Coturnix japonica: one gene and its partners. The protein of the gene in region 3 interacts with the protein of the main gene of each other region in a pairwise test. Links are inferred from orthologs where the notes say so. Each region holds a gene or a part of one and is shown on either strand. Other genes may lie near its edges. The genes, in order: SLC15A4, CD81 and GLP1R.

Region 1 (4,276 bases), on a different chromosome or scaffold from region 3:
CTGGTGTCTATTAAAGAAATTGGCTGGATGAGTAATCACACCGATTTTGGTAAGTTATCTTCAGCTTATTCATAGTTTACAAAGTCAGATGGTTTCTTGAGAAGCAGCTGATCTTTGTGCATGTAGAACTGTTGAATCTTACTACTTAGAAAATACATACTTGTCTACTGTTATATTAAGGACTACATTTCATCTTGCATATAGGTCTAAACTAATGTGACAGTACAACACAATACATTGTCCTCATGAAAGCATAGGAAACACATGTTTAGTATTTTGTCAAAGTGCCTGAAGTACTGAAAATACTTTCTAGAGATAAGGGGAATAAAATGTACCCAAATCTTTCTTACTGATTATTCAGCTTCTTAGTTTCAGGAGACTTTGTGGCAATTACCATGAGTTAATTTTGCCATTTCTGTCTGCTACCAGTTTTTACTCTTTCTAAATCTAATGGAACTTTTGCTTTATATTGCCAGTTGAAATTAAAAATAATTATTGGCACCAGTAGGTGGCACTTTGGGAATTTCAGAAAATCCTGCCATCATCAATGGTTTAATTAGTTCCAACAGAAGGAAAATGAGAAGTCCTCTAAACGTATGCCAGGCCTTCCGTGTATAAATGGTTTAGAATTGCATTAAAATCAGTATGAGAGAATTTTCTGTTTGATTTGGTTTTACCGATAAGTAATGTTTTCTGGAAGGCATCCTTATTTGATAAGGCATTCTTGGGGAAAAAAAAGCAGAAGATGACAAATAGCTTTGGCTTTATGCAAGTGTCCTCACCAAGGGGAAGTTTAACCACGTCTGGCTCATCAGGGGTGCTTTCCGTGTGTAGCATGTTCTATTGGTACTACTTTTAATCTTTATATCAGGAGAGTAAACAGATCTGCTGCTGCTGTTTGATTTGGTCTAATGCTATTGAAAGCCGTTACCAAATTCTCATAATAAATTTACTTAGGCCTTCAAGAGCAGGAATGGAAGGAGAAGACTTTATTGAATGAAAGACTCCTGATTTTTTTTAATTAGTTGCTATGTAATAACTATAAGCTTGTACACCAAGCTTATGCTATTAGAGCCGAATCACTGTGCCATTTGATGTAACTACCTGCCTCCAAAATCTACTGTCAGATTTTATTCTCTGCTGGCACGTCGGTGTTGATTGCTGCCTTTGAAATGGCTGTTATTTCTCTGACACAAACTTGAGGTTTCATGGGTTTAATATCCCATCTCATAAAGGATAATTACTACTTTTTAACCACATCTGCTCTCGAAGTGGAGATCCGCACATATATATTGTATTTTAAATGTCAAGGAAAGACTTGGTTTAATTTTATCGCATTTTACTAGAAGTTCGTTTAATTGAATCATAAGTTTCAGTAATTAAAGTAATTTAATCAGAACATTTATAGGCACACTGCATGAACAGCTTGTTAGGATGGATCTACACTTCAGTATTTTTACACCTTCTGACCTTTGTGATAATCTTAATGGTCTCATTGGCTGTGGCTCATGTGGCATGTTGGAAATGAGCCACGATATATTTGTTCTAAAAGTACAGCAATAGTGGATATTTCTTAATAGAGGAATAACATTTTAGCAATGAGCTTTCTTAATTTAACATTAATTAATGTGCTATAACTCACTCATTTATAACAACTTTGAGGGACTGTCAAAGGTGAATTGAACCAAAAGGAACCGTGTATCGTTTCATCAGTTCTTAACTTCGCTCCAAAAGAGGGCTGAGATAACCGCTGTCCTACATCTATAGAGCTGCCAAACTTCTTCCCTTGTACCATTCATTTTCTGATTCTTTTTATTTTCATTTGAAATGAGTTGTCTCCTGAAAAAGTGGATGTGATTTCTGTTACTTACATACATAGAAGTCATCACTGAGATTTTCAGCTGCTTTATTCGAGGTCAGCAAAGCATTGCAATTTTGCAGAATGAGATCTACAATGAAGGGGGAAGAATGGGAGATTATTTAAGTTTTAAGATTGGTCTGACTGGTGAATCATGCCTGTTGCTACATATGTACCGTCCTCGTTGGCACAAAGTTCTTACAGTGGTAGGAGTAACTTCCTGCCATTCTTTTTATAAGGGATGTAATGCAGTGAGACTCTACCTCCTTCCTCAGAGACATTACATGGTCTGAGGCACAGAGGCACAGAAGAAAGATTAAGTGTACTTTCCTTTAAAGTTCCATCATTTGTCCTGCATCATTGTGCTGTCAGGTGGAAAGGTGTTGAGGTCTTCCCATGTTTTGCAAGGAAGTCTTCACTACTTAAGCTTGAAGGGATTGATATTTTCACTTGTATATTTATTAATGTTTATTTTTTCCTTTCTATTTTCTTTTCTAGGTAACATTAATGGCTGCCAATTAAATTATTACTTTTTTTTACTGGCTGCCATCCAAGGAGCAACCCTCTTGCTTTTCCTTATTGTTTCTGTGAAATATGATCATCAAAAATCAAAGATGAATGACGTAGCTGCCAATGGAAGGATCTGATGTCTGTCACAGAGCGGATGATTACAGCAGCTCATGCTGAATCTGTGAGATCTTATGTTTTCTCCGGAGAGACTCTTATTAGACTTGCATGTTACAAGAGTTCTCGCCCCTGCCCCTCTCAGTTAACGTGGGTAAGTGCCTTATGTTGGTGGGGCTCATTTCTTGCACTATGTCCTGGCAGAGGACAAACACAAATCTTGGAAGTGTATTAACTCTAGGCATTCAAGTTGCTCTTTGTAATCATGTGATGTTTACTAAACTCTTGAAAGCTGGGGACTTATGCTTGGATATTGAATGCAGCGAGTCACGTGTGGCATGGGTTAGTCCTGAGTGAGGAACTGCTAAGTGAAATATCATGGATCTACAGAAACACTCAGCTGTCTCAAGCCCACACTGAGGATGCATAGGAAAGAAAACATTTCACAAGAACCTGAAGTAGCAGTTGCAAGAACAAACATACGTAAGCCATGAGAGTTGATTTTCTTGGGAGAAGCAGGGACAAATTAAGTTGCAGATCAGCTGTAATTAAAAAAAACGACATTATCATCTTTTGCTGGAAGTGAACTCAGCCATGAAGATCCAAAGTTACAGTCAAGAGAGTCCAAGACTGAAGGCTGAGTTGGCAACGTGCTGACTCTATGTGTTGCAGTAGCTTGGCATGCAGCTGCTCTAAGTTCTGCTGCATAGTAAACATTTGTTGGCAGTGAAATGGTTTTACTTCAGAATTGGTTTTGAGTTTGCATTGGGTGTATTAGGCCAAAATGAAAACATACATCTTTTGACAGGGTATTCTTCAGTCTGTTACTTCCCTAAGGAGTATTTTAAAGGACTGAGATGGAATTCTCAGAAGATGAATGCGCAAGAACGATTTAGAAGCCTTTTGAGCCAGTTCCTTCAGTTCTGTGTCTTAGTTCTGGCTACCATGCTGCAGGGTTTGCATCTTTCAGCAACACATTCCTATAGCAGAGCAAATGGTTTCCCATTTGGCCTCCTGAGTTTGAATCATTTTAACAATGGATTGTGTGCAGGCTGGTATGGAAGATGGTATTTTGCGAAGATTAATGTGGAAAGAAAACAAAAACTCAACTTTTTATTAATATATTGGATTTTATAGTTTCCTTTGCATTTATGTTGTTAAAATGTCCCTTTTGTTTTTGTACATGGGCATCTTTTTAATGAGTTTACAAAATAAAACAAAACTTCCTTGCTGTGACTTTTGACCCTTTGTTTCTAGGTGAATAAAATTATCCTACAACTATTCTGGTTTTTAGCCTTAATTTCCTCAACATACAGTGAGATCCTATTAAGTGTCAATGTGCATTGACATCCCATTCATTTTGTCAGCTCATGTAAGAGTACATGTATTGTCTTTGCCAAGATAAATCAGGGGAAATAACAGAATAGAGTTCTTTCTTGAATAGATACTGTTTCAATTATTCATTATTAAGTGTTTCTTCTGCTGTTAGATATTGTCAGCTCTGGTGTCCCTTCTTAATCCTTTTCCAAGAAGTGAATTTCATCTCACTGTTTTTCTCCAGTCTTCATATTTTTAACAGTGTTCATAAATCTCTGATTTGATGCCACTCTGCTCCAACCTGGTTACACCAAGTTAAATGAAGTTTACCAGAGAAACAAGAAGTCTAACACTGTGACAGCCCACACAGGCAAGCTTCTGAGAAACATCCAAAGTTCATATGGATTACTTAAGGAGGAGTTCAATGAGCGAAGACTAGGTTAGTCTACACGTTCTTTAGGCAAACAACTTTCACCC
Region 2 (4,446 bases), on a different chromosome or scaffold from region 3:
ACTGAATCATAGAATCATTAAGGTTGGAAAAGACCACTAAGATCATCTAGTCCAACCATCAACTTGCCACTACCATGCCAAAAGTGAGCTCTTTGAACCAGACCCCTCACCAGAGCAGGCGGCAGTGTGTTGGGCCTGGAGGTGCATGTTAGCTGATGGGCTGGGTGAGAGCAGGCTGATTCCTTTCTAGTTATGTTTAATCACATGTTGAAAGACCTACTGGGCCTCATTTGGCCTCTCAGGTTATATAAAAGTGGCCCCAGCTCAATGTACCAGCCACAACCTGAACCATGCTGAGACCCTTCCACCAGCAGTGCCTCAGGGCATGAGCTTGGCAGCTCGCTCAGCAACCATCCAATAACCCAGCACCTTTCGTGGACAGCTGGCCATCTCCCAAAAGTCACTGCTCCCTGTGGCTCTCAAATATCACAAGTATACTGCCTAATTCAGCCATGCAAGAAATAACAGAAATGGGATTCAAGTATTTCTACTGAGGTTTCAGGCCAAGCTCGTGGCACATAAAAGCTTTTCCTTATTATCCCTGTGTTCTGTTAGTGGGGTGAAGCTCTCCTGGAGCTGCCTTTGTCCTCTTCCACCACCCTAGTGATGTCTGCCCACTTTCATCACACTACAACCCAGCACAACTCTACTGGACATGCCACAGGTCTTCCAGAGTTTCAGAAAGCTTTGAGCAGCCTCAGGACTCTCATTCCCAGCACCCTTCAGCACACATCGGCAACGTGCGTGCAATCTTATGTGTGCTCCCTGACAGCCATCGTGGCCCAGCTGCATGCCCCAGCCAGCAAAACAGCCCGGTTCTTCCTAAAGCACGAGGGAAAAACGGCCCCCAAAAGAGAGAAATCTCAGGCAGACGGGGCTGCTGCCAAGGCGCCCAGGGCAACTGGTGCTGAAGCAACATTTTACTTTTGCTTCCCAACACGGCGGCTTTGTTATGTCCCTGTGCTGCTACGGGGGTGTCCGTTTATTTACACCCCAGCAGGACAACGAGGCCACTTCAAAAAGTTATCAGCTTCTTTCTTACTTGTTAACACAGCAAGGCTTAGAATTACTTCCTTTCCTCCCCCGGAGTGAGCTGTTTTTCAGCATGCGGCCAAGCCCTGGTGTCTGCCAAGCTCCCAGTTCTGCCTCGCGCTTGTTTTCGACTCAGCGCCAAGCACACAACAAGCAACAGAGCAGTTCCACAGCCTTCGCATACCAAATGGCTGGCATCGACACTGCCCCAAGCCCCTCATCCCATATCTCCCAGGGGCTGGGACACACAGGCAGCTGCGCTGCCAGCAGCACGGGCACCCTGCGACAAGCGCTTCAGCGCTGCTTCCTCCCTCTGAACATAAAACTTTCTCAGGTCTTCACGATGGGGTAACGACCAAAGCATCCCCCACCCATAGCTGGAGGCATGAGACGTGTTGCTCACCGCACTGATAAGGCGCTAAACCTTACAATTACCCTCGACTCCAGCTTATGGAAGCCATCAGACCTGTTGTTTGGCCACCCAGCCTCATGAAAAGCCCCCGGAATAAACTGCTGGCTGGCAAGCCCTGGAGAGCAGGAACCAAAAGCCATAAAGGGAAGGAAAATGGATCTGGAAGTTCCCCTTTTAAGTAAAAGGATGGTTTACTAAGAGTTAGGTATATAGCACGAGTGAGGGAGCCTCCCCAGGAGCAGCAGCAGCACAGGGCCCTTCTGCATCCTTCCTGTCCCCATGGGACCCTTCCTTTCTGCATCCACACTTCTGCAACAAGAATGGCAGGAAGCCTGGAGCAGGAGGGAAGCAAAGCCCCCGGATAGGCACCGAAGCTCGTGGGGGAGCAGCCCAGGGAGACACAGCCCTGTCCTGCTGCCTAGAGAGGGAGGAGGACGGTCCCAGCTCATCCTGCAGCTGGCACAGCATCGGATATCAATTAATGCCGCTGTCGTCACCGTTTGTCAGCCTTCCTCGGTCACCGCTATGTGAGAAGAAAGGCAAAGCAGAGTCTCAAACCAGGCTGGATTCGGGAGCGCCTCCACCGCTCCCTGACGCGTCGGCGTCTGACCCAGAATTGGGAAAAACGGACAGGAACGCTAACGGTGACCTTCCTCCCCCGCAGGAGGACCCGCTGCCACCACCATGCCCAGGCAGATGAATTATTACATGAGAAACTTTCTCAGAAAAGCAAACCTCAGCACCTTGGGAATATCCGCCGGCTCCACTAAGTTCCCAAAGGCAGCGCCCAGCCCTAACCCAGCCCGCTCCAAGCGCTGCCAGGGCTGCGAGGGGCAGCGCCAGCCCCAACCTCCCCTGCTTTACGCATCCCCTCCGCACGGGGGGGCTCACCCCATCCAGCCCTCAGCAATCGAAAAACCGCACGGCAACAGGACGTGCGGGGAGAGAACAGAGAGCCGAACCCCCGCCCTCGCGCAGAGGATGCACATACATTAAAAAATACATCCATCTACGTGAGTGCATATAGATGTGCCGTATGAATAAATACATAAATAAATAAAGCTGCGTTAGCGCGCATAAAAAAAAACCAAAGGATAAATGATCCCCGCACCCCGCCGACCAAAAAGCCCTGATAGCAGGGTGCAAAGCTCAACATGGGGGCTGGCCGGTGGGGGAAAAGGAATAGAAAATACCCCGGCTCTAGCAGGACGCACAGCCCAACCGCCCTCATCGCGCTGGGGCTTACCCAGAAGATGAAGTTGAAGACGAAGAGCAGGTATTTGATACACTTGGTGCAGCCCTCTACCCCCATGGCGGCTTCGGCGGCAGCAGCTCCCGATCTGAGGCCAAGCTGGGCGGCGGCGGGGAGGGAGAGAGGGAGGGAGCGCTAGGAAGGGCCGCCCCCTGCCCGCCTCTCCCGAGCGGCGGGGGCCCTCCGGGTCCCACCCTCTAACGCTCTTTTTCCTTTCGATTGCTTTTTCCCTTCCCTCTCCCTTCCCCTGTTCTTTTTTTCCCCCCTCTTGTAGCCTTCCCACCCCCGCACCTTCCCTTTTCCCACTTGCTCTTACATTAAAACTCACCCCCATCTTCCCAATGCTTCCTTTCAGCCTTACACAACCCACCACCCAAAAGATCACCTCCAAATTGTGCAGAAGCACTCACCGTGCTTGCTTTGCTCCTTTCCCCATCCATCTGGGGGTATTTCAGGGCTCACCATCAAAGAGATCTGTGTCACACGCGCTGACATTTTTAGTATCCCTCACATTGCAGCTTGGAAGTTGAATTTTAAAAGCCAAAAAGCAGCACCACAGAACCAGCAGAAAGTTTCCTCACCTTCTAGGCTAACCTCACTTTGGTTCATCTGTGCATCCCTAGAAACACAGCCTGCTCACACCCTGCTGTGCAACCAGCAGGCATGGTTGCTTTTTTTTTTAGGGCTGGGGTACCAAAAAGTCAGAACAGAACTCAGAACACAAAAGCCTGATCGAAGGCAGGACCTTATGTGTCTAAAAGAAAAACAAAGAAAAAAAGTAGAAATGAGTTCAAGTGCTCAGACAGCACCCCTGGTGCCTGTCGAACCCTGCTTTGCCCTCTGCACCTGCTGAGCACCCAGTGAGAACTGAGGCAGAACAGAAGCCAAACCAGTTCCCCAATTACTGAGTGCATCCCCTAATCGTGGGCTTGCCATGGATGCATAAACCCTTTGTTTCTAAGCCCCATTTACTCATTTGGCCTTACCAGTGAAGCTGGAGGCTCACAGGGGTATTCATGCACCAGCTGATAGACTGAATCGTTGGCTGTAGGTGTAATCCTGCCTGGATCCTGCCTGTTGATCCAAAAGATAATGACAGGATCCCAATTTTTTTCCCCTGCTATGACACAGGATCCCACAATGCCTTGATTTCTGCCCAAAACAAGCAGGGTTTGCTGCAGGGAAGGGAAAGAACCACATGCAAACTGATAAGGCTTCAGCAGCAGCACAGCCAGAGCTGGGCTTAGGAAGGAAAGACACTCAAATCAGTGTCTGTGTGCTGGGAAGCTGGCAGCCCCACTGCAATCACTACCACCAAACTGGCACTGGAGCCACCTATGGGGAGCTTGGGATATTTGGAAGGTGGTATCATGGCTTTTGCTTTCTGCCTTAACCTATGGGAAGTAGCAAACAAGAAACAAAACTTTTCATACACTCCAAATGCTAAACAATCTGTCTCAGAGCTAATGTGCTCCTACTGCTAGGGCATCCCCATGCCTGAACCATACATTGTCCAGGGCTCCAGCTCAAGGGTCACAGATCCCATCTGAACCTCTCTGTGGCTTGGCAGTGGGGAAGTATTTCAAACTTTATCCAAACATCTCAGTCTTCTATCAATTTATTTGCTTCCAGGCAGCTCAGCCGAGCATGCTTGAAAACTTTGACCTCTGTACTGAAAAAAAAACCCCACACAACCCAAACCAACAAAACAAACACCAAGTTCCAGTGTCAAGGTAACACAGACTGTTTC
Region 3 (3,646 bases):
GCTTTCAGGAAATCTTATTTCTTTTGCTATGTGGAAGATAAATTAATTGAAATTTGTAAAGTTTTCGTGAAATATATTGCTGTCACTTGGTCACATTAGCATACAGGCTTCATCCAGTAATGCACCAACACATTGCACAAAGTACTTCAAAATTAAGAAACTCCAGTCTCCCTGAATTGGTTCCTACATGTTGATGGTACGTTGTGTAGGTTTGATTAAAAGAAAAATAAAGCCTTTAGCCTCCAATAAAACAATCTCTTTTTTGTCTCTCCCAAATTGCAATAGGTATTTCACTGATTCCACTCAGATTTTCTTATGGCATAGAAACGCTGAGCACAGGGTTTTAGAAAATGCAAAGACATAAGCCTACTCTGGTGTAGGAGGGAAGCCACTCTGTCATGCAGTCTTGCTCCTGGATGCTGAATACACCTGGATCTCACCATCCTGATTACATGTTGATGAGACTGCCTCTGAATGTATTTTCCTGTCTCACAGTTCTGTGCTCTGATCCTTAAGAGATTTTCTTGCCTAGTAAATAATTCTCATTGCCAGTTACTGATTGTTTGCTCTGAAAGCAGCGCTCTGTTAGCAAGGCAGTCCCTCACCTGTCCTCCCTCCTACATACTTATATACCTCATTGCATTTAAAAACATCAGTCATACCTCCAGCTTCTAATCCCCAAAGCTAAAGTAACCCAAGCCTTATAGTACTGTGCAGCACCTTTTAGCATAATCTTATCCCTTCTCTTTCTCAAAGAAGATTTAAAATGACTGCAGAAATGTAGACAAGCTCATACACTGAGTCCCATGTAATGATAACTGTGATTTGTAGATGTTGTGGCCATGCAATATGGAATTCACCCAGCAGAACACCAGATGGTCTTGAATTCTCCAAGCGTTTCCCAAGATGAGAGCATCTGTAAGGTGGATTGATACAAAGATGTTAACCAACATTCAAAAAAATTATTTAAAAGGAAAAACTCACCAATAAGGGTTCCTTCACTGGGAAATGCTGAGGCAATTTCCACCAGGGAGCAATCTCCAAGAGATGTTGCCTTAGTGGTGGTCAGCCCTTAAATGAGGTCTAGAGGAGGTGGAGTCCATCTCCACCCCTTCCGGGAGTACAGCTAAATTACTCTCACTTGTGCTCCCACAGCTGACCCAACACTTGCATCAGCTGATTAATCAGAGGTTCAGGCTGTGATTACCAATTTCCCATACAGATTCCTTCCTGTTTTACCCATCAGTGACACTTTTTGAGTAATCTTAGCAGCCCAGGTATAAAAGTCACAGAATGCAACCATGTTCTTATTGAAGGAAGAGTGTACATGGTTTTGACAGGTTATAAGGAGCATGCTTGCTGTAGATGACTGGTAGGAGAAAGGAAATTCTGATGCACTGCTTTTTGTGGAGAGATTTTTTAGCAATTTTCCTTAAGTGGAGAAGCAGTGACTAGAGCAGCGTGCTCAGGTGTCTGTTTCTGGCTTTGCAAATAAAGTTTCAGAGGTATTAAGGAGTTTGTGAGCCTTACTATGCCATCAAACTATTTTTTTGTTTTCCCATCTAAATTGACTGTCTGAAGACAACTTCTTCCTCATAAAAACATAGGGTGCTCCCCCTGTTTGACCCCAGTTAGTGGATTCTGGATACTGATTGGAATGTGGCTCATTCCTATTGGTTGTACAGTCTCATTAGATGAGGATAGAAATTGAATTCAGTGGCATCAAAATGCTGATATTCACCACTTCTGTAATAGGGAGGAGTTAGTAAGTTCTTATACAACAGAGCAATTCTTATATTTGCTTTTTGTAATGATTCTAGAGAGTAATGTATCTCTAGTGTCCAATTTTCCATCTTCTGAAATTGAAGTAAAATCTGTAATTTCAGTGATGGAAGCTGAACCAGGCCCATAACTTCGTGAATTGGGCAATTTGAATAGCTTGCATTGACTACAGCAGAAATAGTAACTACTTCAACCTATTATCTTCAGTTGGTTAGTTTACATGCATTTGTCAATTGGATTTAAATATATGGCAATTCTGAAGTGTAGCAACAAATAAATTTTGAATTAAACAAGAATAAACATTAATCATGTGTAAGTTTTGCAATAGGCGGTGACCTAAATGTGATACAAGCAATTCTAATTGAATTATATATTTTTAAATTAAAATATTCTTTTTCTTAATTTTAAAACTGATAGTATTCAAGACCAAGCCTGATTTTTTATATATATATATATATATTTTTTAAGCATCAAAGAGAGACTTATAGCTAGTGTTGCTTCCTTTGAAACAGAATATGTACCTCTGCAATTCTGGAAGAAAAAAGTCTGTGGGTGAGGCTGGTAAAGCACTAGCAGCACTCTGCAGTTGGTTGCCATTTACATGACTGCAGTTTCCTTTGCTATCCTTTAACATGCTCTTTTTGATAAGTAGCAATTTTGTTGTCTTTACAGCTGTGACTGCCGAAATTCAAGAGGATTTTATCTTTTCCTTTTTTTGGTTTGTTTTCAGTTCTGAGTGAAGAGGAGGAAATCTTGTTCCCTTTTGTTATGCAGGAGATATTTACAATTCCCCTTGGAGGCAATTTGAATACAGCTTTTTCTCTTGTCAAATTGATAATTTACAGGTGGATTTATTTATTTTTTTTTCACTGGGAAAGGGATGCTTGAACACAGCCCAGAAACTGTAATGTACAGCAGTACCTGAGCCAAAGTAAACCTGTTCAGTGACACTGGGATCACTGGGGTTCAAAGGGGTTAAGTACAGCATTATGTGGAATTAGAATAGTTTTAGTCCTTTCAGATATTTCTTCTGAAAATGAATTTATTTTCACATTTTTAGAACATTTTTAACAGATTTTTCTTGTGTACCCGTCTTTTCCCTTCCTTCAGACATTCTCCCTTAAAGCTGCACTTTTTAATATCTTTTCCTCCATGACAGTGATTTCTTCCCAAAGACGATTTGAAATGCCCCCAGCCATTCTTAAGTTACAGGATTTCCTCTGATCCCTCATGATTTTCAACAGAGCTCGTTATGCCCGACCTCAGTCCTATCTGTGATACTGCAGCTTTTACACCATTAGTGGATCATGACTGATTCTTCCTTTTTTACAGACATCTTCATTGCACAAGGAATTATATTCACCTGAACCTCTTCACCTCTTTTATCCTCCGTGCTATATCTGTCTTCATTAAAGACTCAGTGGTGAAGTGGATGTACAACACAGCCACACAAGAGCACCAGTGGGAAGGACTTCTCTCCTTCCAGGTAGGGGCAGACACTGTGGTTATTATGAGGATATTGGAGTCATCATAGTGGTGTGTCTGCATCACAGCTGGTAATTTCAGTTTGTGCACCTAGGCTTGTCCAAAATGATGCTTTTTTCGGTCTGTAATTTCTCTGAACCTTGCAGCACAATGTATGTGGTTGTGCTTTTCAGAACTTGTTGCAAACAGTTGATGTCATGGTATATTTTATCATCCTCTGGTAGGTTTGCCCTTCTAAATGGAACAAGTATGGTCAAGTGGATTTTTTGCATGTGTACAAATGACTCTTTCCTCTTCCTGAGCTGCAGATTCAGTTCCTCTAGTAGTAGCAAGAGGGAATTCATTTTCCTCAGCCAACGCCTCTTATGTTAGGATTGTC

What was found.
Region 1: the proteins of GLP1R (region 3) and SLC15A4 interact in a protein complementation assay, tested with the Homo sapiens proteins (2 studies listed by BioGRID). The link is inferred for Coturnix japonica from reciprocal best matches to the Homo sapiens genes GLP1R and SLC15A4.
Region 2: the proteins of GLP1R (region 3) and CD81 interact in a protein complementation assay, tested with the Homo sapiens proteins (2 studies listed by BioGRID). The link is inferred for Coturnix japonica from reciprocal best matches to the Homo sapiens genes GLP1R and CD81.

The regions. Positions count from the first base shown.
Region 1 is NC_029530.1:3,167,745-3,172,020, forward strand, and holds the end of SLC15A4 (solute carrier family 15 member 4), read left to right. Parts: coding exon 1-49; intron 50-2,356; coding exon 2,357-2,505; 3' UTR 2,506-3,763; downstream 3,764-4,276. UniProt on the Homo sapiens protein: Proton-coupled amino-acid transporter that mediates the transmembrane transport of L-histidine and some di- and tripeptides from inside the lysosome to the cytosol, and plays a key role in innate immune response.
Region 2 is NC_029520.1:10,912,360-10,916,805, reverse strand, and holds the start of CD81 (CD81 antigen), read right to left. Parts: upstream 2,828-4,446; 5' UTR 2,757-2,827; coding exon 2,691-2,756; intron 1-2,690. UniProt on the Homo sapiens protein: Structural component of specialized membrane microdomains known as tetraspanin-enriched microdomains (TERMs), which act as platforms for receptor clustering and signaling.
Region 3 is NC_029518.1:26,283,589-26,287,234, reverse strand, and holds part of GLP1R (glucagon-like peptide 1 receptor), read left to right. Parts: intron 1-3,114; coding exon 3,115-3,268; intron 3,269-3,646.